Diceros bicornis minor: one gene and its partners. The protein of the gene in region 2 binds, or shares a complex with, the protein of the main gene of each other region. Links are inferred from orthologs where the notes say so. Each region holds a gene or a part of one and is shown on either strand. Other genes may lie near its edges.

Region 1 (7,322 bases), on a different chromosome or scaffold from region 2:
AACCCCAGGGTCAGCGAGAAAATCATCGAGCTCCATGGGCTCTGTTGTGTGTACTGCACCAGTTTGCTCACCAGCCTCAGAGTCGTTGGGGGTCTTCTCTGGATCTCCATAGGGGCCACCAAAATGTTGGCCTTAAACAAATAGATAGCTAGTTATTTCTCCAGCAAAAATGGGTTTATTTGGGATCAGCAAACAATTGCAATTTGAAGTCTGCAACCATGGCAAGCCACGTGCAAGTCCCCACCAGCAAGGGAGGAGAAACTCTTTTATAGAGGGGAAGGGGAAGTTGGGAAAGCTATTGTAAACAAAGAGTTTGAGGTGTAGTGGGTCTTCACTGGCTGAGTTTTGACGGACTCTCATTGCTGAGCTTCTGGCTAGTCAAGAAGAGGCAGTCTGGGCTGGCCCCGTGGCTTAGTGGTTAAGTGTGCGCGCTCCACTACTGGCGGCCCGGGTTCGGATCCCAGGCGCGCACCGACGCACTGCTTCTCCGGCCATGCTGAGGCCGTGGCCCACATACAGCAACTAGAAGGATGTGCAACTATGACATACAACTATCTAGTGGGGGGCTTTGGGGGAAAAAAAAAGGAGGAGGATTGGCAATGGATGTTAGCTCAGAGCCGGTCTTCCTCAGCAAAAAAAGAGGAGGATTAGCACGGATGTTAGCTCAGGGCTGATCTTTCTCACAAAAAAAAAAGAAGAGGCAGTCTTTCTTCTTCTTTTGGGTTCTGCTATCTGGGTAAGGCATGAGAGCTTCCCCTTGTGGCCTCCCAACTCCATTTTAATGAGGTTTTTGTTTATTAATGTTCACACTGCTATAAGTAAAACCTAAAAATATGTAGTAGTCTCTTCGAAGTTGGGCAGGAGTAATGAGCAGTCTGGAAAGGGGAGGCCTTGTCATGTCAAAAAATTCAGTAAAATTGCGGCCTACAATAACTAGGATGGCAGACAACCTCCCTTCCTAGCTTGTAGCTCTAGTGGAGATATTTAGAAAGAGCCAGTTTGTGTGTGTGGCTGCTTCTTTTTTGCTTTCAGCAAGGTATTACAAGTAAAGTTTGAAGTCAGGGTAAAAAGGGAATAGAATGTTCCAGAAATTCTGGGGCTTCACTAAGTTGAAAAAGCCAACTGTTTATTACCCCTAAATAGCAGAAGAAAAGACTTAGCTTAGAGAATTCTCATAGCCCATTAAGACTTTTTGGCAAATGCACATAAACAGAAAACAAAGATAAGCTGAAGCAAAAATCAAATGAATAGAGTTCTCTTCTCATTTAAACCTATTGTTTTAGATGATTTCAAAGCTTCCATCACTAAAAGGAGGATGTTAAGAATGGACTGAGTATGGAAGCCGGAAAATAGGGCAAGTTTAATAACTACTAGAAAGAACTTTGGGTGTGGTTACTGGCACCAGAAACTGTCTGGAAGCAGCAGAGGTTACTGAATACTCAATGAAATTATATATATATTGAAAAACCTGGCCTACAAAAGCCCTCAATTGCTCAAGTCCTGAGGCATTTCCCCAAAGAGGGAATACTCTTCAACATCCAGTTAACTTGTATGCAGAGGGCAAAGCTTGGGCCCACAAAATACAACGGACAATGGAGATCCTCTCAGAGAGCAGAACTAGGGTCTAACCAAGGAACTTACTCCACTACGAGGATAGTGAGTATTCATAATTCCTGCCCAGGATTCCACCATTGCTATAGACCAGTAACTGCTGTATGTTTCCCATTTTTATTTTTTCTGAGTTTTACCTGGGGTTATCCTACTCCTGCTCCACTCTTGTTTTGTATTACACGTATGGGTATGGAGCAGATAATTTGTTTTGTAGTGTATATGTCTCTGCACCATAAAAAACCATATCCTAACCTGATGGAGAGGATTGTGCCTTATCAGACATCCTGGAATTTGAGCTAATATAGAAACTAAATGGGAAACTGAATTCTCTTTCTTAGAGGGTGCGAGCGTTCTACTGTAAGAAGGAAACACAGATATTTAGGTGGTCAGAGGGACAGATTGTAGTAGAGAGTGTTGACTGTTCCTCTAAAACCATCCTTTCCTTTTTCCTGGGCACAAGACTGCCAACTGGAAACTAAATTTCCAGTCTCACTGTTGCTAGCCATGGTCATGTGACTAAGCTCTTGCCAATAGAGTGAGATCTGAATTGATGTGGGCACTCCACATTACTTTCTTAAAAGGACTTCCTTATTCTGGGCTTCTTTCCTCTTCTCAATAGAGGGAACATGCTAATTATGACATATCAAGCTGGTAAAATTAGAACGTTTGACGTTCTTTGTAGGCAAGGCTGTAGAAAATTGCACTCCTACATATCGCTGGTAGGAAGGCAAAAAAGTACCATCCCTATAAAGTGCAATTTGGCAGTATCTATCAAAATTGTAAGCACATCTACCCTTTGACTCTCTTCTTGGAATGTATTCTACCTGTACACATATAAAATGATGGATGTACAAGGTTATTCATTGTAGCATTGACTAAAAACTATTTAAGTGTCTAGTTTAAGGATTAAATAAGCTACGCATCCCCTCATTATGTAATACTCTCCAGTTCTAAAAAAGAATGAGGAAGCTTTGCAGACTTATGGTAAGATCTTAGGAAAAGTGAAAAAATCAAGGGCAGACTAATGATATGGTGTGCTATCTTTTGTGAAAGCAAGAAAGGATAAAAATGTACTTTTATTTGCTTATATTTGCAGAAAGAAATTCTATACGGATATATGAATAATGAACATAATTACATATAAACGTAGGGTGACCATATACTTTTTCATCCAAATCAAAGTGTTTCTAGAGTGGAAGGGCGTGTTATTAATAATTACCCCAGGACAACAGATGGAAAATGCCACTGTCCTGGACAAACTGGGATATATGATCAACTTATACAAAAGGTACAGAGTGGGAGGGGGAATGGGGTCATTTTTTACCGTATTTTACAAAAGTGTCGGTCTTTGGTGAATTGGAAAAAAAACAGCTCCTTCTTTACCACAGGTAGTTTAAGGACTGCCTTAAAGAACGAGGATCGGTAAACTATAGACGTGACACACGGAACTTAATGAAAACGCGATAGTTTTGCATACCCGACACTTACCGGAGTTGCACAAGCGACACACTCCCTTGAAGTTCATCCTCCAATCCGAAGTGGGAGCGTGAGAGCCCCAGCCTGTGGGAGAGACCTGCTTGGGCCTCGGACTCGAGGAGTGGAGCTTCGCGTCACTCAACCCTGGGGGCGGACCCAGCGCAGGCTCCCACCGCGGCGCTCTGGCCCACAGAAACGCTACTCTGTGGCATCTCGAGTTCCCTCTGGCTGCACTCTGGAGGACTACACTCGTTTTCTTTCTGGCAGTGGGAGGCCCTGCAACCTCGGCTGAGCTGGAGGAAAGATGGCGGCAGCCGTGCGACAGGATTTGGCCCAGCTCATGAATTCGAGCGGCTCTCATAAAGATCTGGCGGGCAAGTGAGTACTTCTCAGGGGCATGGGAGGTGGGGAGGGAAACCACAGACTTGTTCTCCTGGGGTTGATGGCGGCTTTCGCATGTGAGGCTAGGCGCTGGCCTGACGACCAAGGGGGCGGGCCTGAGGTCGGTTATGGAGGCAAATGTTGGGATCAGCAGAAGGCTGAAGGGGACCTTGTGCAGGGATCCCTCGGGGCCCTAGACCTAGGGTGACTGTCAGCTCGTTCAGTCCTTGAGAGCATCCTTACCGGTCTCGTAAAATTCTGGAAGCGCGGTCTGAGGGACGACTGCTCCCACGGCCTTCTCAGCCTTCTCTGGTGCCTCTTCCCATCGCTCTCTGGCCTCTCACACCGAATTCTCGCCTCTCTTTGGACTTTTTTTTTTTCCTTTTTGATTGAGGGAAATTTATATTCTGGGCCTTGATGCAGAGTTTTGCGGGGAGATGGCTTTTTGAGGCTGGTGGGGGCTGAGGAGGTATGGCCGCTATCATGTCCAGAACCCCTCGGACCGTCTTCTGTGGGTCATTGTTTTGGGTACTCTCTCTCCGCCACCAGCTCTGAAAAAGGGCACATAGGCAGAATGTCTTCATAACGTGGGTCAGGATGTCTAGAGTAGTAATGTTTGCAGGAATCTGGATTGTTTAGGAATTTTGTCGGAATTTGTGTAGAAGGCTTAGGTCCACTCCAAGTTAAAATTTGTGACATGTCCCTCTCCTGCAAGCAGTTATTCAGCAGTGTTAATCATAGGTATTGTCCGTTTTTTCTTTGTAGATTTCACTATACTGTTCTTTTGTAATGAACGTGCATTCTGTTTAAAGTATGCTTCTCAAATTGATCCTAATATTTACATCCTGACAGCTGAGATCACTTTGATCTGTATTGATGGGATACACCTGCTCTAACCGGGCTGTTGGAACCTTGACTGTGCTTTATGTAGGCTGTGCTGCCTTTTCTGTGGTGGTGAATGTAATCTACTTTTATCAGTGGGAAATTTAGCTGTGTATCTTAGGCTTAACTATTTTGTGCTGCAATTTCTCCCTCAGGAAAATGGGGATAATTATAGGACTTATTCTTGTCTGAGAACGAAATGAGTATGTGTGTGCGTATACACTTGTGTTATATCACTTAGAACAGTACCCAACACTTAGAAAGTGTCACAAAATTGTTGTTATTATTACCCAGCTAGTAAATATATATTGACTTATTCCATGGGTTGGAAATAAGTTGAATATGTCTTCATGGCTTAATCTTCTTTGCATGTAATTTTTATAGAATGGATGAAAGTAAAACTAGCTTATATTTTCCCGCATGCTTGCTTGCTTTTTTGTTTGTTGAAGAAAAATAAGTGCGTTAGTTATCAGAAGAGATATAGTTTTTCAAGTATTTGCAGAATTCTGAAACTTAAGCTAAGCATTTACTTCAACTCTGAATTGCAGATAAACAGTAGTACCTATCTTATAGAGTGCTTCAGTTATTTATTGTTGTGTAACAAACCAAAAACTTAGTGTAAAACAACTGTTATTTCTCAGGATTCTTTGGGCTCTTTTGCTGGTCTAGTCTGGCCTCCCTCATGCAGGTGCAGTCAGCTGGCAGCTCAGCTGGGGCTGGTAGGGTAAAATAGACGCAGATGCACATCCGGCTGTTGGCTGGGTCTCACACTCTCTCCACGTGGTCTGTCATTCAGTAGTTTAGCTGAGGCTTCCTTACAGGGCCATAGGAGTGTTCCTGGAGGGTAAGAGTGAGAGCTGAAGGTCTGTTAAGGCCAGCCTTGGAAGTCTTGCAACATCAGTTCCCTGATACTGGTCAAAGTAAGTCACAAGCCCAGCCCAGATTCAAGGGGAGGGGAAATGGAGTCTACCTCTATGGGAGCAGTGGCCAAGTTATGTTGCAGAAGGGCGTGGTCAGAGGGAGGCATGATTCATTGGAGTCCGTTACTGTCACAATCTACTCCATGGGGTTATTGAGAATGTTAAATGAAATAATGTGCTTGATAACTGATAGCCAGTGTTTTGTGAGAAAAGTCTTGGCCTTGCCTGGTCCTATCTGGGCAAGAATGTGTCAGGGTATTTCTTTTCGTAACAAAACAGTTCTGCCAGCTAGTGCTTTATGAGAGAAACACTCTTGAAATATATCAGTAGTTTTAGGGTTTATGTTAGGAGCTGAGTAACAGGATTCTATATTAAGGAATCATGGAGAAAATTCTTTTCTAAAATATTGATACTCTGTGTTCCCTGCAGTTAGCAGGATATCTATAACAGAGTAGTTATTCAACAAATGTTGGTTAAATCAATGAATAGCTAGAAATGTGCAGAGCTTATATTTGAACACAGGTTTGTCTACTCTAAAAAGCTCATTTTTAACCTTACCAGCCTATACTGCTGCTGTTGCCAAAACTTCAATTAGAAATGCTTTCCTATAACTATGAATTAACACAACAGTCTAAAATCGAAATAAGAAATTGGCCATATGAGAAGCATATTTGCAGATTTTATAAACTGCTTTTGTACCTATTATGCATTGTGTTCATCATCTCATATAACGCTTTAGAAGAGGAGAGTCTTGAGAGGGAGCATTTGAGTAGATAGATAGCTGTTGTGATAGCCTGTCTTATTGAATTAGCTAAAACCTACTTGGTTCTTCGAAACTCAGTTCAGATGTTATTTCTTCCAAAAAGCCTTCTCGGAACAACCACCAGTACACACTCGTGCTCACCCCACACGGGACCTGGGTGGTTGCTCTTCCTGTGCCTACTGGCATCCTATATTTCCCTCTACTATAGCGCTCAACTGTTTTCTTTACTTGTCTGCTTCTCCAACTAGAATGTGATCTCTTTGAGGGCAGGTATGAGGTCATGGATTATAGGTCTTTGTTGAGTTAATCCTACAGAAATAGGACCTTTTTTTTCTTTTCTTTTTTTCCCGGTTCTGGGGTATGGAGGATCCCCAGAGGAGCATAGTGGGCCTTTGGAGTATAAACGTTTCATTTTACAGGAAGCTGTTAGCCTGGAGAAAGGAAAGTAATGGGAGACCTTTTAGCTGCCTTTGACTATTAGAAAAGCTGTTTTTCAGACAAGAAAATAGACTACTCTGCCTTATAGACGTAGACTTTGGATTAGAACTTTGTAATAATAGAGTGGAGTAGAACTGTCAAAAAATAGAGGATACACACACACACACACAACCAACCAACCAACGGAGGATATACTGTATAACTTCATAGGCCCCTTCTAACTCAGATTCTCTGGTTCTCTGTTGTTATTCCCACACACAACAGTTTTAGGGGTTTTCATCTCAAGAGTGAAGTTCCCTAACATCTAGTGTTCACTGTGCGCCAAGCACAACTTTACCTACATTTTTTAATCCTTAACAAGTAATATTGTTTACGTTATATATGAAAAAACTGAGGTATAGAGGTGAAATACCTTGCTCCAAGGTCACATAGCTAGTGGCAGAGACAGAATACAGCCTGTCAGCTTGGCTCATAGCCCTTAACTCTAATCGACCTTTTGGCCTTTTTCACCAAACTGGACTACATTTCAGATAGTGATTTTTTGCTTAGAGTGCCTGCCTTTCCCTAGTCTTTGCCACTTCACACTGAGTTGAAGTATTTAGAATGCTTCAAGATCGACCTCATTAGTAAATTATTTCTTTCTCCTAAAAACTATATTAGCAGCTACCTGTTTTTAAGATTTTGTCTTTAATTTTCTGCAGCTTCGTTATCATGTATCTATGTGAATTTTTTACTTTTCTATGTCGGTTAGCTTTTGCTGTGAAATAAACCACCCCAAAACTTAGTGGCTTAAAACAGCAATCATTTATTTAGCTTACAGTTCTGTTGGTTGGCAGTCTGGGCTGGGCCCA
Region 2 (7,792 bases):
GCACCCATTTAATATTTTCAATAACAAAACTTTTTAAACTTGCATATTTTGAGGATTAGAGCTAACCATGTGTGTGATCATCAAGCACAAGGATTTTAAGAAATATTATTTTAAATACGTTATCTCAGTAACTATGCCCGTTTTTGCATACCCCCTTCTCAATCCTTCTCTACACACAGACAGTTTATGGAGTAGAAGCAGCTTTGAATTCTCGATGTTTTTAATTTTCTAATAGGCAATTTTCCAAGTTGCTCCAAAATCCTCATATTTATTAGGTTTAAATGGTTACAAAAATGGAGATCATGGGGCCGGCCTGGTGGCGTAGTGGTTAAGTTCCTGTGCTCCACTTCAGCAGCTGGGGTTTCACAGGTAGGATCCCGGGCACGGACCTACACACCACTCATCAAGTCATGCTGTGGCCGCATCCCACATACAAAATAGAGGAAGATGAGCACAGATGTTAGCTCAGGGACAATCTTCCTCAAGTAAAAAAAAAAAAAAAAAAATGGAGATCATACTATCCATCTTCAGGGATGTCAGGTGCTGAGGGAAGGTTAGTAACCTCCCAACTCCACGTGGTGGGGCCTGCATCAGGTCACCTGTCAGGTACGTTCCTAAGGCAGGTATTTCTAAGTGGGAAAAGCCTACACATCTCCAAGCAAGCAAGGCAAGCACAAGCCGTGTGCCAAAAGAAGGAAGAGGGCTTCCTTTTGTGTCCACACTCCTTTCCCCTTCTCCAGATCTCAGCACCTTCCTGGAGTCACTCCCGTGTTCCCACAGCACCTTGGAAATCCTCCTGTCTCAGAATGTAGACCCTTAGGCTGCAACTGCCTATCTCCTTGACATCTTCAATAGAGGTCAGCTCCACCTCCACTGGGCCAGGATGGGAGGTGGCACCAAAAAGGCCTTAAGATATGTTTGCTCAGGGAATGACCAGATACACGAATAAATGAATGAATGAACATGCAAAGCTGCTGCTTGTTAGTTGAAAAGAAATACTAATTAAAGTAAATTTTTTAGAAGTAGGAAAGGAAAGTATGGTGTCTAAACCCAGCAACACATCAGTCACAGAAGGAGCTGGAACGCAGCCTTGCCCTGTCATTCCCGAGCCCATACATGGGGTCCTCCACCATCACAAAGTAGGAGGCAAGACATCTACAAGACACTAATAACAGAATGAAGTGGGTTTTAAAATTAACTGCCCCCAGACTCCTTTCTGACAGAAACGATATTTGGTTCTCCAGCACCCAGCTTCTAATCGAAGCTCAGCAAATGTTCTTTCAAGGATGAAAAGGTATCCGTGTGTACACTCTCTGGTGCTCCAATCCTCTATTTAATGGGGAAGCAACTCAGCTGAGAGAATTCTGTGAGATAATACACTTCCGTCAGCAACATGGTGCTGACCAACCACTTCATAGGCACTTTCATTATCCCCATTTAACAGATGAGGAAACTGAGGCTCAGGGGTTATGCCACTTATCAAGTCCACAGAGCCAGGCTCCAAACCTGCACCTTCAAGTCTTCACCAAGTAATCACAGCTGAAAAAGCAGAGGCCAAGTCAGTGGTGGCAACCACGTGTAGGTCCAACACACCCTTTCTATGCCCTTCAATGTGCTGGGCTCTGCTCCAGGCGGGGTGAGTCAGAAGCTGAGCGGGAAGTGGGGCACTGGTGCAGAGGAGAGCTACAGCAAGTGGCCAAGAATCGAGCTGAGGGCTGTGGGGTGCCAGGTGCAGAACCTATCCCCCACCTGGGAGGGGGTTCCTCCACTGAGCCCCAGGGGAGAAGTGGCAGAGGACCTGGGGGTTGTCTGGGGCTTTGTCATTTCCTGGAGTAAAACTTCCTGAATCAAAAGTCACAACAGGGTCTGACAAGTGCCTAACCAGAAAACTCCTGGGACTCCGAGCAGCCCTGGGAAATCGTGACCTGAGGAAGACAGACCCTGTGCCAGGTACCCTGACCACTGCCCAGGGATCAGATGTCTCCTCGCTGAGAGGAACTCTGGGGAAAGCCAGCAATGAGTGCTTCTCGGGTCTACATCCTCAGCCTGAGAAGGCAAACACCATCTCAAGACGGGTGTAGGGTTGTCTGGGCTGCATGAATCCAGGCAGGGGTCAAGACAGGACCCCCTTTGTCCTCCCTGACTCCCAGACTGGCTGAAAAGCCCAGAACTCAGGTCCCAGGCGCACAGGTGTAAGACTGGGACCCGGAGCCCACAGACCTGGTTCCAGGTTCGACTCTGCCACTTATTCTCTGGGGGAATAGGTAAAATGGAGACCACAGTTCCTGCCGTGGCCCCAGGGGCTGCTGGCACAGAGTGGTCTTGATACACATCAGTTTCTCTTCCCCTCACCTTCAACCCCAGCTGCCCCAAACTCCTCACGTGGAACAGGAAGACAGGTCTCTGAAACTAAACCGAGCTGGGGCCCGGAAGCCAGGTGGTGGGGGACAAAAGGGCCCCCTCCCCCACAGCACCCTTCTCAGGGCAGGGGAGAGGACTTGGGGTGTTCTGTGCTTCCCCAAACGTTGAGAATCGCCAAATCTGAACCAAAATAGGTTTGAACGACAAGTGTCTTTCAGGCTTTGGCCTCCTGCTCACTGCGACTTGGAGCATCAGTTTCCCTCTCCAGGGGTCGCCTCCCTCCCCGGTAAAGGCCCTTCTAGCTGACACCGCCATTCCACCCCCACCCCGCAATTAGGCGGGAGACAAAATGACATCATGCAGGGCTTGGCCCGGGTCCCAGGAGACCCGCCCGCCCCGGCTCCGAGGCCCAGCAGGCCCGGGGAGCAGAGCGAGGGGTCCCCAAGAGGCCCCCGTCTTCGCGAGCGCCCCCTGCCTCAGGCGACCCAGGGCTCAGCATTTCCCGCAGAACTCGTCCCCCCGGCCCCGCTCGGAGGGACCATGGGGGGGGGGGCAGGAATCGGGGTGGAGGGGGATGGAGTCTGCGGAGGGGGAGGGGCCCTCAGCCGCCCGGCCCCGCTCACCCGCGCGTCCGCCGAGACATCCCCCCGGCCCGGGCCGCGCCGCGCTCGCCCGCCTGCCGGCTGAGCCCGGAGCGGGAGCCGGGCCGGGGTCAGGGCGCGCGCTGCTCCGGCCGCTCCGGGCCCCGGGGCCGCGCTGGGAGGCGTCAGCGTGTCCGCAGGTCCCGCCGCCTCTCGCAGGAGCTGCAGCCGCCGCCGGCGCGCACAGAAGCACTTTTCTATCTCCCGCCAAGCGCGTCGGCGCCGCCCGGGCCTGGCGCGCGGGCGGGCGGGCTGCGCGGGGCGGGGCCTGCGGGGCGGGGCGGGGCCTGCGGGCCGGCAGACGGGCGCCGCGCCGGCCCAGAGCCCTGAAGCCCGGGGCGGGGAGAGCCAGGGGTGCGACGGGGCACTGGGAGAGGCGGCTCTGAGCTGGCCACCGGGTGACTGAGGCCCGGCCCAGGCCCAGTGTGGATCCGGGGCGGCCCTGGAGTAGCCCCACACGGCAAAGGCTGAGGAAAGGGAGTGAGGGGCAAGGATGGGAGAGTCAGGCCGGGGAAACCGCCTGCGCAAAAACCTCAGCACTAGTCCAAGCCGCTCTTCGTCCCTACGGCCCCCACCCTAAAGCGGCCCCCTCACCCCTACGCCTCCCTGCTTCCTCTGCAGCCTCGAATTCAATGGCTCCACAGCCCCCACCCTAAAGCGGATCCCTCACCCCTACCGTCTCCCTGCTTCCTCTGCAGCGTGGAATTCAATGGCTCCCGCTCCTCAGGTCCACTCCTGGCAACCCGAAGGAGCCTTATAAAATGCAAACCTGAGCTTGCCTCTCCAGACTTAAAACTTCTCTCCTCTCCCTCAGGGTAAAAGACTCCATAATCAGGTTGATAGGATTCTGCCAGATCACCACCCCGCCCTTAGCCAAAGGAAACTGGCTAGCTTCTGTTGCCTTTGCTTGGGCCATTACCTGGGCCAGGAACACTTCCCGCCCATCCCTCCCAATTATCCCTGGGGTCCACTGCCCGCAATCTGCTTGTTGACTTGTGCGTTTCCGCCTTTGAACTATGGGCAGGCTGAGGTCCAAGTGGCCCCTCAATTCACTGCAGTATCCCCAGGGCCCAGAATTCAACAGCTGAGTTGAATTCAGTTTGCCACATACTTAAACTCCTAGAGACTTGGCAAAGATTTTCCATTCTTTTTTTTTTTTTTTTTGGTGAGGAAGATCAGCCCTCAGCTAACATCTGATGCCAATCCTCCTCTTTTTTGGTGAGGAAGACTGGCCCTGGGCTAACATCCGTGCCCATCTTCCTCCATATTTATATGGGAGGCCGCCACAGCAGGGCTTGACAAGCAGTATGTCGGTGTGCGCCTGGGTTCTGAACCTGCGAACCCTAGGCCGATGCAAGGGAGCGTGCACGCCTAACTGCTGCGTCACCGGGCAGCCCCGGATTCTCCATTCTAAGTTGCCATTTACCAAGCACCTCCGGAGTGTCATGCCACACCAGGCTCCCTGGGCGGAGTGCTGAGACAAGGTGAATGAACTATGAGACAGGAGCCTGGAGAGACCTGGCTGAACTCCAGCCTCTTAGGCCCTGCTTATGCCTTAGATCCCTCTTCCAGAAACTGCTGGCCACCTGGGACAGTCCAGCCAGCTGCTGCAAACTTCATTTACCACAGCAGAAGGAATACTGACATCTTAAGTGCTAGAAGCTTCCACATCAATTAATTCAGGGCTTCCCCCACCTACTTCTCTCATAAAGTAATTCATGTGGACATTCTGTCTTCATTGTCAGAGCATAATATTTAAGAGTGCAGGCTCTGAAGCCAGACTTCCTGGGGTTTTATGCCCAGCTCCATCATTTACTAGTTGTGTGATCTTAGGCAAATTCCTTAACTCCTCTGTTCCTCAGTTTCCTCATCTGTAAAAATGAGATTTATCAAAAACTTAGATAGCTTTCACTATATTCCAGCCACTGTTCTGTATGCTCTGTAAACTTTATTTCATTTAATTCTCATAACAACCCTATGACGTAGTATTAATATTATCCTCTTTTGGCAGATGGGGAAACAGACACAGGCCTCCCCCACAGGTCACACTGCTAGTACTGTCAATGGCAAAGCAAGGATTCAAACCTGGGCTGTCTAGTTCTAGAGTCTATGTTCTTAATCACTATACTGGTACCTACTTTGTAGAATGGTTGTGGGATTAAATAAATTAATATGTGTAAACCACTGAGAACAATCCCTGGCACATAATAAGTATGATATTACTTTTAGTTATTATTATTATTATTATTATTATGACTCTTCACCTGCCCTAATGCTTCTCCTTTGAGGTCCAGGAAGCTGCTTTGCACACAGCACACACTCTCACATGGATTATTTGTCCCATTTCAGGAGGGAGACAGGACCTGGCAGCTCCAGCAAGGCATTTGCCCAAGGCAAGAGGCAGGGAGCAGCTGGAGAGTCTCCCTGGAACCTGGAACTGGGGCCAGTTGAGCAATACACTAGAGTCTAAAAAGCCTGGAGTCAGTGCTCCGAGTCAAGGAGCAGGGAGATCACCCTGGTGCCAGATAGAATCTGGTAATCTCCACAAGTGTGTCTTCTCCAGTTATCATCATACCAACAGACAGCCCCTAGAGAGAGGATTCCAAGTGTCCTGGGTGCAGCCACAGGTGGGAGTGGTCCCTGGGCCCAGGACCGATAACATACAGACTGCACTCTACTGGGAAACTTCCTGGACATGCCCTCCTCAGACAGGGAGGCTCTAGTCCTCTGGTCATTCCATAATCTGCCCCACTCCAGGCTCCACACTCAGGGCAAGATAGGATCTGACTTGGGGAGACAGGATCAAATCTACTTATTAAATGCTCAGGGCCCAGCACTAGGCTGGACACAAAACAAACACTGATTGACGACAAGCAATTGACAACTAGGATCATGTGGCCCTTCTGCTTGGCGTCTTCCCCTCTACCTACTGAGCACCTTCCTTATCAACCTTGTCCTCCCACCATACTTCCCTCCACCCACAATTTTATTGTTCTCTCAAGAACAGGGACAGCCCCACATTCACAGTCTTAGCTTCATATCTTTACCATAATGTTTGGCTCCTTGTAGGTACTCACGGAAGAGGTTTTAAACATTTTTTAATTGAATGAATTAAATATTATAAAGCTAACATTTGGGCTGGAGTTAGGAAGGCACAGACTAGAACTGAAAGGACTTAGATTGCTCGAGTTTGAACTGTATCTTGTAAGATGTGAAACATCAAAAGGGATTTTTAAACAAAAGAATGTTTTTCAGACACTTCTGCCCCACTCCCAAGGGCATCAGTGTAGAGGACAGAGTCATGGCCACAGGCATGAGAGTCCAAGCACCACAACTGGACATGGGACACTGTCTACAACAGGGGGGATCCCAATGCAGGGAAAGCAATTCGGTTACCTGATTCAAGGAATCAGACCTCTACAGAGAAATTTCCCCACCCACTTCTCAAAAGATTGAGATTTTATGAATAACTCTTTGCAAAGGACCTATCTTTGAGTTCCAGAAAAGGATCAGCAAAGTATCCAGATCAGAAAATAATAATAGCTGGATTTTCCTGGGGAAGACACCATATGCCAGGCACCATACTAAGAGCTTCACATTCCTTTTGCATTTAATGCTCATCTGTATGTGAGGCAGGTACCAATAGGTTCCCCATTTGAAAGATAAGAAAACTGAGGCACCAAGATGTTAAGTTACCATGATCACACAGCCAGTGGACTGGTAGCTTGAAGCAAAGCACCCATAATTTAAAATGTAAATTTGGAGAGTACTGTTTGTGAAAATACGCTGAAATGATCGAAGCTGGGCTCAAGCCTGGGGCTAGTCATGAGATGATCCAACCATCCATACTCTCCAGAAGCTCCTCAGCTGATAGGGGAGACAATGAGTAAACAGAAAATCAGCTCAATACAGGTGAAGGTAAACTACAGGGGTTGTGGATGCCCAACCAGCGGGGTCACTAAATGTTCTTCAGAGCTGGGTGATTTAGGAATTTGCAAGGTGGCCAATGTGGGGAATGGCAGTTGAGGCAGAGGGAATAGCCAATGCATGTCAGGGAGAAGGAATATAAGAAGTACTCAGGGACTGGCCAGAGATGAAGAGGTCATTCTTGACTCTTCTCTCACATTACTTATCTGATCCATCTGCAAATCTTATTGGCTCTGCTCTCAAACTCTACCTTCAAAATATATCCAACGGCAAAAGCACATGAAAAGAAGCTCAATACCATGTCATTAGGAAAATGCAAAATAAAACCATGAGATTTACACACCTACTAGAAAGGCTAAAATTGAAAAGACTAATCATATCAAATGTTGGTGAAGATGAGGAGCAATCAGAATTCTCAAATACTCCTGGTGGAAATGCAAAATTGTACAACCACTTTGGAAACAGTTCAGCAGTTTCTTAAAAATTTAACATATATACCTACCATGTGACCCAAGCCATTCCAAGAAAAATGAATGCATATGTCCGCACAGAGAGTTTTACATAGCTTTATTTGTAATGGCCCAAACTGGAAACAACCCAAATGTCCATCAATAGGAGACTGGATAAAGAAATTATAGATATAAAACAAATATATCCATACAGTGGAATACTACTCAGCAATATAAAGGAATTATTGACACAATATGAATCTCAATCATGTTGAAAGAAGCCAGACAAAGAGTATATACTGTATGATTCCGTTTATACACAATCCTAGAAACTGGAAATCAATCTATAGCGGGAGAGCCAATCTAAAGTGACAATGGTTGTGAAAAACGGATTACAAAGAGACAAGAAACTTT
Region 3 (7,603 bases), on a different chromosome or scaffold from region 2:
GGACCCCAGGTGCAGACCTATGCATGGCTCATGAAGCCATGTTGTGGCAGCATCCCACATAAAATAGAGGAAGATGGGCACAGATGTTAGCTCAGGGCTAATCTTCCTCACCAAAAAAATAAATAAATAAAATAAACGTACAATTCAGTGGTTTTTAGTATATAAACAGAGTTGTGCAGCCGTCACTACAGTCAATCAATTTTAGAACATTTTCATCAGTCCACAAAGAAACCCTTGTACCCTTTAGCAGTTACTCCCAATTCCTGCCCCCCCGCCCCCCCTCTGGGCAACCACTTTCTGTCTTTGTGGATTTGCCTATTCTGGACAATTCATATAAATGGAATCATACAATATGTGGTCTTCTGTGACTGGCTTCTTTCACTTAGCGTAATGTTTTCAAGGTTCATCTATGTTGTAGCATGTATCAATACTTCATTTCTTTTTATGGCTGAATAATATTCCATTATATGGATATACCTTTTTTATAAAAGTAATAAAAACTTTACTACAGAAAAATGATAAATACAAAGAAAATAAAAATCACCCATAATCCCACCACACAGGGATAGCCACCGTTGTATACCATTTGTTCTGGATTTTAGTCTATGCATTATGTACAATCACATTGCTGTGCAACCATGACCACCATTCATCTCCAGAACTTTTTCATCTATACAAACTGAAACTGTGTACCCACTAAACAGTAACTCTCCGTTCCTTCCTCCCACAGCCCCTGGCAACCACCATTCTACCTTCTGTCTCTATGAATTTGACTACTCCAGACACCTCATATAAGTAGAATCATACAATATTTGTCTTTTTGTGATTTTATTTTATTTAGTAGATTGTCTTCAAAGTTCATCCCTGTTGTAGCATATGTGAGAATTTCCTTCCTTTTTAAGGCTAATATTCCATCGTATGTGTATACCACACTTTGTTTATTCATCCATCGTTGGACACTTGGGTTGCTTCCACCTCTTGACTACTGTGAACGCTGCTGCTATGAACCCGGGTGTACAAATATTCTTCAAGACTCTGCTTTCAATTCTTTTGGGTATACACCCAGAAGTGGAATCACTAGATCATACAGTGATTCTATGTTTCATTTTTTGAGGAACCACCACAGCAGCTGTACCATTTTACATTCCCACCAGCCATGAACAAGGGTTCCAATTTCTCCACAACTTTGCCAACATTTGTTACTATCTCTCTTTTTTATTATAGCCACCCCAGTGAGTGTGAAGTGGTGTCTCATTGTGGTTTTGATTTGCATCTCCCTAATGACTAATGACGTTGAGCATCTTTTCACACGCTTATTGGTTTATTATATCTTTTTGGTATCCTTTGCCCATTTTTGAATTGGGTTATCTTTTTATTATCAAGTTGTAAGACTTTTTTTTTTTTGCTGAGGAAGAGTCACTCTGAGCTAACATCTGTTGCCAATCCTCCTCTTCTTTTCACTTGAGGAAGATCAGCCCTGAGCTAACATCTGTGCCAATCTTTCTCTATTTTGTATGTGGGTCGCCACCACAGCATGGCTGACGAGTGGTGTAGGTCCACACCTGGAATCCGAACCCGTGAACCCTGGGCCACCAAAGCGGAGTGCTCCAGACTCAACCAATACGCCACAGGGAGGGCCCTCAAGACTTCTTTATATATTTTGGATATAAGTCCCTTATCAAATATACGATTTGCAAATATTTTCTCCCATTCTGAGGGTTGTCTTTTTACCTTCTTGATAGTGTCCTTTGAAGCATGCAAGTTTGCACAGAAATAACTCAATATCTGATAAATGGGCAATGGGACTGGAAATGATCAAACCTGATATGCACAAAATGTGGCAATGTTTGATTTTCTTATGGTGTATTTTATCTAGATTCTTCATGAGTTAACATCCTTGTCCAAATTTTGTTAGTTTTTTTTTTAAAGCAGACAATGACTCTTATAAATCACGTCATTTTAAATTGAAATGCACAATTTAAAATTTACCAGTCCTCTGATAGATGTTATCCTCACATCACAGAGGGGGAAACTGAGGCACTGAGAGTGGCCCAGATTCCCGATTCTATCACCTGGTCAATGTTGCCCTTGAACAAGTTATCAGGTTGTTGGGAGAATCAAGTAAACCAATGAATATAAAACCTGTGTCATAAATATTCAGCAAGGAACCTCACTGCAAATAATAGTGAAAGGCCTTGTTCACAGTCACACAGCTAATAAGTGGTAGATCTGGGGCTGGGATATAGCTTTCGGCTTCAGAGTGTAAGACACATTTAGGGTTTTTGTTCAAAATTCAGATTATCAGAGGAAGGGCCTAAAAACACTTATTTAAACAGCAGACCTGCTGTTGTGAGTGTGTGAAAACTGCCTTAGGATAAAACTTGGCTCCCGTGGGTCTCATGATACACTGACCACGGGTTACAGTCACAAAGTGTCAACTTCTCCCACTCCCCTAACCTACCTACCTACCCTAACTTGGTTGTTTATTTCTATCCTTTCATTCTCAAAGGTTGACCTTTCCTTGAACTCATCTCCAAATTGATAGTGACCTACCCCGCAGGTGTCGACAACAGATCAGTTGTTTTTCGTCTTCTCAGAAGGTAGATCAGTGAAGGAAGAATTACTTTGTAAGATTACTTTGCCTACACCCTCCTCCCCCGCCTACTTCAAAAGTGGCAGCACCCAATTATCCAAGGCACAAAGTTGGCATCACCAATGACATGAGAGACCAAGTCACAGAGAATTAAGTTAAGAAATCAACTTGCCTGAGGGGCCGGCCTGGTGGCGCAGCAGTTAAGTGGGCATGCTCCGCTTCAGCTGCCCTGGGGTCCCATCCCGGGTATGCAGGACGCACTGCTTGTCAGGCCATGCTGTAGCAGTGTCCCATACAAAATGGAGGAAGATGGGCACCGATGTTAGCCCAGGGCCAATCTTCCTCAGCAAAACGAGGAGGATTGGTGATGGATGTTAGCTCAGGGCTCATCTTCCTCATAAAAAAAAGAAAAAACAAATCAACTTGCCTGAGATGATACAACCAGCAGCCAGAATCCTAACCAGGCCTTGGGGCACCAGAGCCCACCCTCTGAACCTCTAGGGTGGCTAGTGCAGACACCTCTCTCCTCGCCTTTGCCTGCCTGCCCCAACAAGCTTTCTCCTAATTTCCAGGATTCTCCTCTTGTCACACTCCAATCCGTTTCCCACATTTTTGTTCTACAACAAAGGGAAACATGCCATCCGCATTATGTAAAACCCAACTTCTCCATTCTCCCACGCTCTTAGCAAGTCCAACTCCGTTAGCCTGGGCTGGCCTCTGTGTACTGCTCTGTCCTCATCTGCGTCTACCACCTTTCAACTTTTCAGCTCCTGGAATTCACCCATGTTGTATTGTCATTGCCTAACTATCCCATCTCCCGACCCCTCATAAATTCCTGGAGAGCAAGGATTGGAGCTCAGTAACATTTGTTAAATACATTATTGAAAAGCAACAGTGGTTTATTACCGGACAGCGTTACAGACAGGAATTGTGACATCTTTCCCCAGGCTTCTTTCAAAACGGGATGAATTCTCATCTAGCGTTCTCGTAACATTTCGACGGCGGTACTTGACCCTCTTGTCGAGTCACCGTCGATTTTTGTCTGTATCCTCCAGGCACTGGGTCTGCAATTCTCTCCCAGCTCGCTACCTGGTCGAAGTGTCGAAGGGACGGAAGAGCTGAGCCCAACAGTTCAGCTGCCGACCTAAACGACTAACTCCGCGACCTCTCACGGCCCCCCTCCCAGGCTCCACGCAGCCCCGGTTCCGACACTCGGGAGGGGGTCCCCGGCTGGGGAACCCCGAGTGGTGGACGGAGCGGCGGCGGCCCGACCCTGCTCCCCGCTCCCTCCGCCAGCTCTCAGCGCACGGAGGGGAGGGGCTCGCCGGGGAAACGTGGGTTTGGGAACCGTGAGAAATTGCCTGGAAGCAGAGCCCCCCCGGGTAACGTGACCACGAAGCCAGGGCTTCCCCCCCGCGCCGGGCCCACCGGTGCCGCCTCCCGCCGTCCCGCCCTCTCCCCGCGCGGAACAGACGGCCTGCAGCGCCCGCAGCTGCAGCGCGGGCCGCCCAGCGCGCGCCGGGAGGGGGCCGGCCGGACTCGGGAGCCCGCGCTGCACCCCCGCGCTCCGGCGCCGGGCCGGGCAGGGGCGGCGCGAGACGGGCCTCGCTCGGGCCGGGCCGGCCGGGGGCGGAGGGGCGCGGCGCGGCCCCCTCCCCCGGGCGGGCGGACGGGCGGGGCCGGGCCCGCCTCAGCCGGCAGCGCCGCGGCGGGAGCGCCGAGCTCCGCATTCGAACCTCCCTCGCAAAGACAGTCTCCGCCCCACAATGCACCGCGGCGGGCAGCCTTTGAAAAAGCGGCGCGGCTCGTTCAAGATGGCGGAGCTCGACCAGTTGCCTGACGAGAGTGAGTAGCGGCTCCCAGCACCCCCCCTCTCCCCGCCGGCCGCCTGCCCCCGGGCTGCCGCGGCCGGGACGGGCGGCCGTGCCCTCCGCCGAGCGGGCGGGCCGACTGCCAGCGCCGCCGGGGCCCCCCGGTCCTCGCACCCCGCGGTTGCCGCCGCGTCGCCGCCTTTGTTATGGTGTCGGTGTGCTGGTTTCTGGGGTTGTGGGAGCGCCAGGGCCGGAAACCGAAAGCCCGGGGGCCCGGGCCCGGCCGCGCGGAGGCGGGGGCCGCTCCCGGGCCCGACTCGGGGCCCGGCGAGGTGGGGAGGAGCGGCCCCGGCCGCGGGGGCCGTGCGCCCGCCTGCCCGCTCGCCCGGCGCGCGGGGCGCCCGGCGGGCTTATGTAACCCGCCGGGCCGGGGGAGGCCGGGCCGGGCCGGGGGCCAGCGCCTGCTTCGGCCCCGGCCTCCGGCCTCCGGTGTCGTCCTGTCGGTTCCTGCCTCCGCAGGCTCCTGCGATCTGCACGTCCTCCCCCTCCTCCGGCGTGTCCAGCCCGGGAAGTGTTTCCGTGTCAGAGGGCTGGCCCCTTCCCCTGGGACCACAGGTGGCCGTGGACCTTCCCGGAGAGAATCCAGACGGGGGGCACAGTGTCGAGGGGGCCCCCAGCCCGCAGACCCCCCTTCTGTGCGGGCGCGTCCTCAGCATCGCGGGGGCGCCTTGATAGCCGGGTGTGACCCTCGCAGCACGCGCGTACTGTCCCCTCCCTGACACCCTCCTGTCACTCACCCTGCCGTCTCGCACAGGTGTGCTCACTGGTGTTGTCAGTAAAAGCACGGAGGTCGTAGTCTCGGCACAAGAGAACTTACTGTTGTCATTTACAAGATTGTGTAAGGTGTGCAAAAAGGCGGATCTCCTAGTTAATGACAGAAGGGTCCTGATCCACACTCGCTCTTCAGTTTATGGATGCGTGCTATGTGTGAGAGTTTGAGGATAAAAAAAAAAAGGCCCAATGGCTGTGAAATCTGTCTGCGCCAGAGGCAGATAGACGCTCAAAATGAGAGCCAGAGACAGCCGATTCCGTTTCCTCTGTGGGGTCATAGACTTTTAATGTGTTATAAAGTTGCACTAAAAGTTCCAGCTGGTCAAAAGTTGGATTGAAAGAGTTTATGTTTCAGATTTGCTCTAGACCAACGCTAAATTCCAATGGAACTTTCTCAGGGACGGGAATGTTCTATTTTGCAGTGTCCAGTAGGGTAGCCCCTAGCCACACGCGCTGTGGAACTCTTCCGGTGAGGCCAGAGTGGCTGAGGACCCAAATCATAAAGATCACGTAATTTTTGTTAATTTAAATAGTCACGTGTGGCTGGTGGCTACTGTATGAGACAGGCCACAACTGTAGACCATGCGTGAGTTTTCTTGTTTCTTGTTTGGAGAATACAGTTGACTGGTTTAAGATGCTCCTAGATGAGGGTGGGCCTACTTACTAAGCACAAGGTGCTTGTCATCCGAAAAGGCTCACTCTCTTTATCATGAAGATGTGTTGTCACCTCGTAAAAGTCACAGCCACTAGAGCTGTTATTTTGGTTACCGTAGTCACTCTGGTGAAATGAGAGGTGTTTTAAGTGGCTTTCTTATAACTGTCATTTAGAATATCGGCTCATCATCATTAAGCGTTAATTGAGGACTTACTATGGTTCTTTGTAGAGACTTGGGGCTCATCCTAGGGTTCTAATTCCAGCTCCACTCGCAAACTATATAACAATCATTGATATTGCTTTGTGACATCTCTGGTAGGTTGGGGGGGTGTGGGCGTGCGTGTTTGTGTGCTGTGTGTCTCGTTGACCTTGACCACAGCTCATAGAAAGAAGGGATCGCCTTACCTGGTTTGTCACACAGTGCCACAAATCAGGTATACGGAAATGCTTGATTATATGAAATTGCACGTAGGGTAAGAGGCATTATGAATGAAACTGGAGCAGAGTCCTGAAAAGGGAAAGTGATTTCAATTTGATATTGGAAATAGCTGTATGTTTCTTTGCCAGTTTTAGTCAAGGGGGCTAGCTAATAAATTAGCCAATAGCCAGTATAACATTATCAATAATAAAAGGTACCGTTTATTGAGTACTTACTATGAACCAGATGCTATGCAAAGCGTCTTACATACATTTGCTTGTTTAATCCTCATTTCAATTGAGGAAAGTCGTCGTGTTAGTTTGATTTTATATATGAGGACACTGAGGCTGTCTTCAGCCCAGGTCTTTCCTCAGAGCTCCTGTACCTGATATCTCTTGCCTATTTCACATCTCCTCTAGGCACCTCAGAGGCCCCTCAAACTTCCTGGGTTCAAGATCTACCTCATAATCCCAGCCCAGGACAGAGACACTCCCAGGGGGCCCCGTCTTAATGAATGGCTCCACTGCATTCAGCTGAGACCTAGAAGTTATCTTCAGCACTTCCCTGTTTTTCACTTCCCGTATTTAAGCCTTTACTAAATCTTGTCACTTTTACCTTCTGAATGTCTCTCAGCTCTGCCTACTTCTCACCATCACCCTGGCCCAAGCTGTCACCATCTCTTCTGCACTTCAGCCTCCCATTGACCCACCACCCCTCGCCTACCGCCCCCCCTCCAACCTACACATAGCCGGAGTGATCCTCTCAGAATGTGTGTGTGTCATCTTGCTGCTTAAAACACTTCAGTAGCTACAAGACCCTTTGTGGCCTGGCCACTCCCCCACTCCAGCTCCATTTTGTACCACTCTTCCTCTCGTTCTGTCCCTTTGAGCTAAACTTGACCTTTTTCATTCCCTGCACTTAGCAGGCTTTCTTTGTTGCAGGGCCTTTGCACATGCTGTTCTCGCTGCCTGGAGGGCTCTTCCTTCCTCTCACTGCCAGTTAACTTCCGCTTATCCTTTAGATCCCATTTTAAGCTTCTTCAGAGAGCCATGTTCTGTCCTCCTTGATAACGATGACATCCTCTTGTTAAATCTGTTCGTACCACTCTCTAACTTCTCAGTGGCAGCCGACACAATGCAGCCTTGCATTTGTTAATGTGTGTGTGTGGTTAGCTTTGGTTAGAAGCCCCACCAGAGAAGTTCCATTTCTTTGTCTTCCTGCTTCATTCCAGTTCCATGCATAACACCTGGCTTACTTCTCTGACTTGTTCAGACCACTCTTCCCTTGCTAGCTAC
Region 4 (7,711 bases), on a different chromosome or scaffold from region 2:
TTCCTGGTTCCCAGGCCCAAGGCACTGCCAGCCACCTCTGAAGAAGTAACCTGGAAATGAGTCACTGAAGGAGACAGGGGCATGAGGCCTGCAGGAGAGAGACTCATGGACCACTTGGCTGCTGTGACCACATTTCAAGAGGGGCTGCCAGGGCAAGTGAGACACAGGTGGATCCGGGGGAAAACTGCCACCACTAAGGCCCTTTCACACAGTCAGAGATTCTCTGTTAAAAAGGGCTCATCGGATGCCATAGGGGAAGCCAGTTAGGGGCCAGGAAAGGGACAACCCCCCCAGGGTCTTTTCCAACTCTGAGTATGGCATTCCACAACACAGAAGTATTGCCTCTTGGGCCCCAGAGATCACCCTATAACCAGCTGCCCGTCGTGCCTCACCTGTGATCTCAGCAGCTGGACTGGCCACCCCTGGGGCTTCCATGCTGCCGGGGACAGGATTAGGGGTGGTCACCTGGGGACTGCTTGGGCGTGAGGCATCCTGGGGCTGGGCCAGGGCAGGCTTGGGCAGAGGCGAAGGGGTAGAGACAGCAGGTGGGCTCTGGAGCAGATCTTCGGGTGGTGGCACAGGCACTGCCACGGGTGGTGAGCTCCATGCCTCCTTGTTCACCAGCAGCACCTCAATGGGGCCACTCACACTCTTCAGGTGAATCTGGTACTTCTTCTGCCCATTGAGGCCCTGGAGGTGGGGGACAGGTGGAAATGGAAGCAGGCTTGGCTCCTGCCTGACCTGGGGCCAGGGCCACAGTATCCTCTCCCACCCCAGGCTGCCCGTCCTCCTAGATAACCCCAAACCCCAGGCACCCCCCTACCTGCCCCACCCGGGACTTATCGGGTTCCACAGCCAGCACCCGCCCTCAATCAACCCCGCCTGCCTGGGCTGAGCACCCACCTCTGGGATGGGCACCTCCAGGCTGGTGCCTGATGGGGCCCGGATGGCCAGGAGGGTGTCTCCTAGAATGACAAGGAGAATAGGTCAGGGCCTATGGGCTCAATCTGAGCTGGGAATGGGGGTGCCTATCCCTTGGAACAAGGATCATGGTCTCTGAGGGGGTGGACAGTAGGCCTTACCCATACTCCACAGTGGCTGAAGCAGAGAACTAAACCTTTTCTCCTCCCAAGAGCCCAGGGATCAGTAACCAGTAAATCTAGTTTCAAACATGAGGCAAACACTAGTTTCAAAGATCGCTGGCCTTGGGCATCTCACTTCTCAATTGATGGGGCTGCTGCTCCCTAGGTGTAGGTGTTCAGGCCAAGGCCAACATCCCTTCCCCAGGACCAATCTGGGGGATGCAAGATGGAGAAGGAACAGTTCCTGTATTCACAATGCAACTAACTACAGGTTGGAAATGGGCACCTTTGCCCCCTGCATACAAGCACGCACACACACTCTCCCCCTTATGCCTGTCACGCCTGAGAAGCCATACTCGGGGACAGTGCAGATGGTGGCTGACCTGGGATCCAGCCCAGGATTCTTGTACCCTCTCAGTATGGTTGGCCTCCACAGGGTCCCAGTGACCCTCAAACCCAGGACTTACCCTGCCTGGTTCCTCTTTGGCAGGCCCCAGGAGCCCTCTTAAGAGACAGAACTCTCCTTGGGCACTGAGGCCACTGCTCAGAGCTGTGGCTCAGCCCATGCCCTCCCCCATCTCCCCCTACCCAGGCTCTGCTCACCAGCAAAGCATCTGCAGATGTCCTCGTGAGTCACGTAGGCCAAGGTGTGGGGGTTAAGGAGAATGGCTGATGCCCTGCCTATGGTGACAGATGGCAGACACAGAGAAGACCCAGCTCTTTAGCAAAGGTCTGACATACAAGCCCTCAAAGAAAGTCCTGGCCCTTGGGGTCTACATGGGGAGGGATCACAGGCCAAGACGGGTAAGGGAGGGGCTCCGAGGAGGCAGCCCCAGGCTGGGAGCTGGCCAGGAGCTGCAGGACCATCCTCCCAAGAGTAATAGGGCCTAGGGTACCAGAAAGCAAACCCAGCTGGACTAGAGGGCCCCTCGCCCACTCCCTGGGAGCAGGGACTGCCAGGAGGATATCAGCTGTTCTGCACGTCCTCTGTGACGTTCCGGATGCTCTGCTGCACCCACACCTTGTGCTGGTCCAGTTCTTGCTCCCGCTGCTGCAGCTCCTCGATCTCTGCCTTGAGCTCAATCAGCTTGTCCGCAATCTCTCGGGTATTGCAGCCAGGCCCCACGCCTCTGAGCCCAGGGAACGGGGCTGAGAGGGGCTGCCAGGAACTCTGGGTCCCATGGCCCCTACTCTCTCCTGTACCCTCCACCCCACACCCCTGACACTTCCGGGTAGGAGATCCCATCGCCCTCCCAGGTGTCCCCACTCACTTCCACTGGATGCTATTCTTGGATTTTTTCTCGATCAATCCGATCCCTTCCAGCACGTTGGTAATGTCGTAAATCCGCCGCTTCTGGCGCACAGCTAGGGTGTCAGCTGCCTGGCAGACAAAACGGAGTGGAGGACGCTGAGCCGCACTCTCAGGTGTACTCCCAGCTACCTTGAGACTTGGTCTGGAGTGGTCAGGAAAGAGGGTGGCCTGGGCCCCAACCCTCCTCCCAGGCACTACAGCAGCTCAGGACCGCGGCGCGGGAAGTGGCCTGGCACAGCCTAAACTGATGTTCTGATGCTGTTCTCCCCACAGCAGCCGGGGAGGGCCACGAGGACCAGCACCTGCAGCCCCGAGCCTGACACAGCTGACGCCCAATAACCTCGGCCGAATGAATGAAACAGCTCCCGGCCTCCCTCCTGTGAGAAAGCACACAGATGGCGGCCTACTCTCTGGGGCTCAGCGGGGCCGCCCCGGGGGGTTCCCGCTACCAGCCACAGGCCTGGTCCACCATCCTCCCTGTCGCCCCTTAGTCCGGGCCGCACCAGCTTGAGGTCAAGCACGCCGTCCTTGGCCTCCTGCAGAAGCGACACGAACTTGGTGGTGAGAAGTCCCAAGCTCTTCTCATGCCGGCTTGGGGTACCCGGAGGCGGCGGCGCCTGTGGCCCGGCCTCCGCCATCGCGCCTGCCCGCCGCCTCCCCTCAGCCAGGCCAGGCCAGGCCGGCGCCCCCGCCACTTCCGCTTCCGTTCCTGGCCACCCGGCCGCCAGCGCCAGCGTCGCTGATTCCGCTTCCGCCCCGCGCCCTCCCAGGGAACCCGGCGCAATTCCTCTCTGCCGTCAGGGCCGAAAACTTCGGGGACCATCAGCAAATGTCCAACCGCCAAAGAGGACGAAAACAACCGACGCGCCCGGGAAACAGGATATGGTGCCGAGGGAGGAAGTCGGTGGGCAGCCCTGGCAGTAGAGAAGGGGGAGCCACTGGAAACTTACTGGCTGGCCAACTTGCCCCAACTCCACTAACTCTGCCCCATCCCCCATCTTGGGAGAGGAGACCATGCTGCCTGATGAACCCAATGTGTTTCTCCAAACCTGCTCCTAGAGGCTGCCCCGCCTTCTTGGGGCACCCTATTCCTGTCTCTCATTTCCTGCCAACAGCAAGCACTAACTACATCTAGCTTATCCACTTGTCTCCATCCCCACCCCCCTTCCCTGTCCCAGCCTCATCTTTCTCTTGTCTCCATAATTCAGTGCTGAGAAGCCATGGAATTATAACTACTTTTCAGCCAATGCAAACATGTTTACCTATATGTAAATATATATAAAGCACTTAGAGCAGTTCCTGGTGTGGAAGGATTATGTGTTTGCTAGTATCATTTTGTTATTTTTAACATTGTAATTATTTATTATTGTTTATTTTAGGTCAGGTTCTTTGGGAAACAGACTTTGAGACAGGGATTTGGCTGCAGAAAGTTTATTGAGGATCCACACTTGTAAGGGAGTAAGACAAACAGAATTGGGCAGAGAGGGGAATTAAACTGTGATGCAGTTATAATAGAGGGCTCAGCTCATCCTACTAGGAGCTCTGAAACTGGGGTGGCCCTTCCAAGGCATTCCACGTTCAGGCAAGGGTAATGGGCCTTTGTGCCCTAACATTGACCAGGACACTCAGCTGTGAGACCTCAGCAGCCTACACTCCTGGCGGCTAGGGGAACTAGTGTCTTTGTCCTGAGGATGGATTTGGGTGTGCACCAGAGTCCACTGCATTATGACTACCTTTTAGTCCCTTCCATGGCCCCCTTTAACTCTCAAGATAAACACAGCTTTCATAGCCCTTCCACCCTCTCCTGCCATCACCCACCACACACCTTCTTCACAACAGCCTGCGGTCTCTCCTCTACAGAGGCACACACCCTCCTCTGAGGGGTCCTTCCACATGGTTTTCATTCTGTGATGTTGTTGTCTGCATCCATATTGGCACACCCCACTCTCCACCCCAGGTTGGGGCCATCGAGTTCATGTCCATGTCCCGAGCATGAAGAGATCCTGGGTAGGCTGGTCAAGACTCAATGATCACAGGGCGTACACCCCCCTCCCCCCAAGGAAGTGGTGCCCAGCCCTCCCCGCCCCATCTCACAGTGCAGATGTTCTTTCCTGTTGGGAATAAAGCACCAGAGACTCAGCTTCCTTCCTTTCTGCATGTGGCCTTGGGGAGGGAGGGGCCTTGGAAGGAGGAGGGGGCTCCTGGGCAGGGAGGTGGGACAGAGGCTTCCTTGGGGAGAAGAATTCTGCTGCATGCCGAGGTGTGGGCCACAGCCACCCAGGCCTCGTGAGCCAGTGGAGGGAGTGTCCAGCTCTGCTGTGAGGGCCGGGGGAGAGGGCCATCCTCAAGGCCAAGGCTGTTTGCGGAGGAGAGAGAACTGGTCAAGCCTGGTGAGTTCCAAACCAAGCTGTCCTCTTTAACGCAGAGCAGGAACGGGGTCCAGCAGAGGCCTGTGCCTACCCTGCCTCACTTGGCACCTGCTGGGGCAAAACTGAGAAACCCAGCAGGCAAGGGCTTCTCAGGTGCTTCCCCATCACACCCACCTCCCTCTCATTTCCTGAGGGGGCTGGGCAAGGACCTCTCTCCTCCTTCTCAGAGGGGCCTAGAGGGAGGCTGCAGCTCAAAGGAGGATCTACTCTGCCTGCTCTAACCCAGACCCTCACCCCCATTCCTACCTCAGCTCCGGCTCCTCCAGGGCCTGCCATGGACTCAGCAGCCAAGGACGAAATGCAGCCGGCTCTTCCCCCTGGTATGAACCCTCTGGGTGGGCTGAGGGAGGGACGGTGGCAAGAAAGATGGGAATGGTGGGATTGGGTCCTCCCTGCCAGGTCTGGCTGGAGCTCTATAGGGCAGTGAGAGGAGTGACTGCCCTGGGGGACAGGCTGAGGAGTAGGAAGGGGAGCAGGTTCGGCGGCCACTTCCTGCAGGCCCTGCCCAACTGACGTGGCTGCCCAGGCTCTTCCTGCCCAGGGCCTGAGTGGCCGGAGCAGGAGAGGGCGGAGCGGCTGGCCCGAGGCGCAGCACTCAAGTGGGCTTCGGGCATCTTCTACCGGCCGGAGCAGCTGGCCAGGCTGGGCCAATATCGCAGCCGTGAGGTGCAGCGTACCTGCTCCCTGGAAGCACGCATCAAGGTGGGCAGCAGGCAGGGGGCAGGAGTGCTGGGGGTGGGCTGCAGGGCTGGCCAGACATCACTGGCTGCCTCTCTCTCACAGTCGGTGGTGCAGTCATACCTGGAGGGCGTGAAGACTGGGGTGTGGCAGCTGGCTCGGGCCCTTGAGGCCGTGCAGGGAGTCCATGAGGCCCTGGGCCAGGCCCGCGGGTTGCTCCGGGGCATGGCAGAGGCAACACAGACCCTAGAGCCGCTGCGAGAGCGGGTTGCCCAGCACAAGCAACTGCAGGCCCTGTCTCAGCTGCTGCCCCGGCTGCAGGCAGGTGAGTGTGCAGGGGCACTGGGCCTCAGCCTTCCAACACTTAGTCAACAAATGCCCATCACTAATCAAGGGGCGGGGGCACTAGTGAGAGACTGCATGGAGGGACACACCACAGACCTCCCAGAGAGTAACTTAGGCTTCAAATGGCATATGAAGCAGGGTGCAAGTCAGCTCATTCTGGGGTTCCCAAGCATGGGATGTCTGAGTCAGGACTGACACCCAGTCAAGCAGCTCTGGACACCCTCATTGTTAATATGTTGAAATATCCCTAAAAGAGTGGGTGAATAGCCACTAGCATGGTCCCCCAGTTCCTCCCTGTCTTCCCTCCAGGATCCCTGACTTCCTCACGTTCCATCAGCTCAAGGGTTTACACCAGGCCCACCAGGCTGCTAGGACCTTCCCTGGCTCCTTTCAGATTGGCCAATGCTCTACTGTACCAGTTATTAAATATTTTATTTATTTATTTATTTATTTTTTGTGAGGAAGATCAGCCCTGAGCTAACATCCATGCCAATCCTCCTCTTTTTGCTGAGGAAGACCGGCCCTGAGCTAACATCCGTGCTTGTCTTCCTCCACTTTATATGGGACATCGCCACAGCATGGCCTGACAAGTGGTGCATCGGTGCGCGCCCGGGATCCGAACCTGGGCCGCCAGCAGCGGAGTGCGTGCACTTAACCGCTACACCACGGGGCCGGCCCCGGTTATTAAATATTTTAGACATCACCGCAGCCCCAGGGCCTCAGCATCTGCTGCTGTACCCATTACACAGGTGAGAAGGCTGAGACCCAGTGCTGTCTTCTTTCCTCCATCCTTAGTGCCGGCTGCAGTGGCCCACACACAGACCCTGATCAGTGCCCAGCGGCTCTTGGAGGCATATGTGAGCCTTCGGGAGCTGGAGCAGCTGCGAGAGGAGACCTGGGCACCTCTCGGGGGCCTGGAACTGCCAGTCTTCGAGGGGCTGGGCCATCTAGCTGAGGCATTGGGCCAGGCTGTGGAGGCAGCTGCAGGGGCTGCGGGGCAGCTGGCACGGGAGGACCCAGCCCTGCTAGTGGCTGCTGTGCGCGTGGCAGAGGTGGATGCTGGGCATACAACCTCCCTGGAACAGGCTCCTCGGGACTGGCGGCAGCGCTGTCTGCAGGCACTACAGGAAGGCCTGGAGCGGATCCACTTTGGAACACTGTTGCCTGGGCCTGGGGCCCTAGAAGGGTGGCTGGAAGCTCTGCGGGTGGCTCTACCAGCCGAGTTGGCCACAGCTGAGGCACTAGTAGCACCCTGCTGCCCACCACACTACAAGGTGGTCCAGCTCTGGGCCCACACCCTGCACAGCGGCCTGCGCCACTGCCTGCAGCAACTCCTGGAAGGGCCTGAGCTGGGAGCTGCTGATGCCTTCACCTTGCTGCATTGGGCACTGCATGTGTACCTGGGGTCAGTGCCCTTGGGGCAATGGGAAGTGGGTGGGTCAGAGGCTGGGGGTTCAGCATGACACTGGGCTATCCATCTCTAGGCCAGAAATGATGGGGAGCTTGGAGTGCCTGGAGTTGGGGCCTGAGGCTGACGTGTCTCAGCTGGAACCCCTCCTGACCGCAGAGAACATAGAACATCTAGAGGCAACATTTGTGGCCAAAGTCCAGGTGAGTAGTTGGGGCCAGGTCCAAAGAAGCTTTGCCACCAGCTGTGGGCCTGTATCTGTTGAGTCACATGTCTACCTGTCTCTAGCAGTATCAGTGTCCTGCTACATCCTGCTGCCCCTTGCTCCTTCCCCTAGGCAAGTGTGGCCCAGTGGCTGCAGAAAGCACTGGATGGGGAGGTAGCCGAGTGGAGCCGAGAGCAAGAGCCTGACACAGACACGTCTGGCTTCTACCACTCACCAATGCCGGCCATTGTG

What was found.
Region 1: MYBL2 (region 2) and LIN54 share a complex: the UniProt entries of both Homo sapiens proteins name them as parts of the DREAM complex. The link is inferred for Diceros bicornis minor from reciprocal best matches to the Homo sapiens genes MYBL2 and LIN54.
Region 3: the proteins of MYBL2 (region 2) and LIN9 are in contact, whole or in part, in a crystal structure (PDB 6C48), measured with the Homo sapiens proteins. The link is inferred for Diceros bicornis minor from reciprocal best matches to the Homo sapiens genes MYBL2 and LIN9. Residues at the interface, in NP_002457.1 of Homo sapiens: Trp663, Ala667, Cys668, Gly669, Gln674, Met677, Gln678, Ala681, Arg682, Leu684, Leu685, Arg687; in NP_001353174.1 of Homo sapiens: Lys356, Gln385, Arg386, Tyr388, Ala389, Thr390, Val392, Leu393, Leu395, Glu396, Asn399, Leu402, Asn403, Leu406.
Region 4: MYBL2 (region 2) and E2F4 share a complex: the UniProt entries of both Homo sapiens proteins name them as parts of the DREAM complex. The link is inferred for Diceros bicornis minor from reciprocal best matches to the Homo sapiens genes MYBL2 and E2F4.

Annotation. Positions count from the first base shown.
Region 1 is NC_080747.1:67,680,907-67,688,228, forward strand, and holds the start of LIN54 (protein lin-54 homolog), read right to left. Parts: upstream 3,169-7,322; 5' UTR 3,100-3,168; intron 132-3,099; 5' UTR 111-131; coding exon 1-110. Other genes in the region: COPS4 (COP9 signalosome complex subunit 4), read left to right, coding at 3,392-3,465. UniProt on the Homo sapiens protein: Component of the DREAM complex, a multiprotein complex that can both act as a transcription activator or repressor depending on the context. In G0 phase, the complex binds to more than 800 promoters and is required for repression of E2F target genes.
Region 2 is NC_080758.1:17,298,785-17,306,576, forward strand, and holds the start of MYBL2 (myb-related protein B), read right to left. Parts: upstream 3,186-7,792; 5' UTR 3,005-3,185; coding exon 2,985-3,004; intron 1-2,984. UniProt on the Homo sapiens protein: Transcription factor involved in the regulation of cell survival, proliferation, and differentiation. Transactivates the expression of the CLU gene.
Region 3 is NC_080777.1:7,695,118-7,702,720, forward strand, and holds the start of LIN9 (protein lin-9 homolog), read left to right. Parts: upstream 1-4,303; 5' UTR 4,304-4,359; coding exon 4,360-4,438; intron 4,439-7,603. UniProt on the Homo sapiens protein: Acts as a tumor suppressor. Inhibits DNA synthesis. Its ability to inhibit oncogenic transformation is mediated through its association with RB1. Plays a role in the expression of genes required for the G1/S transition.
Region 4 is NC_080771.1:19,074,793-19,082,503, reverse strand, and holds the start of E2F4 (transcription factor E2F4), read right to left. Parts: upstream 3,062-7,711; 5' UTR 3,033-3,061; coding exon 2,898-3,032; intron 2,464-2,897; coding exon 2,354-2,463; intron 2,213-2,353; coding exon 2,051-2,212; intron 1,730-2,050; coding exon 1,686-1,729; intron 966-1,685; coding exon 904-965; intron 691-903; coding exon 393-690; intron 1-392. Other genes in the region: EXOC3L1 (exocyst complex component 3-like protein), read left to right, coding at 5,098-5,143, 5,350-5,826, 6,642-7,251, 7,331-7,457, 7,592-7,711. UniProt on the Homo sapiens protein: Transcription activator that binds DNA cooperatively with DP proteins through the E2 recognition site, 5'-TTTC[CG]CGC-3' found in the promoter region of a number of genes whose products are involved in cell cycle regulation or in DNA replication.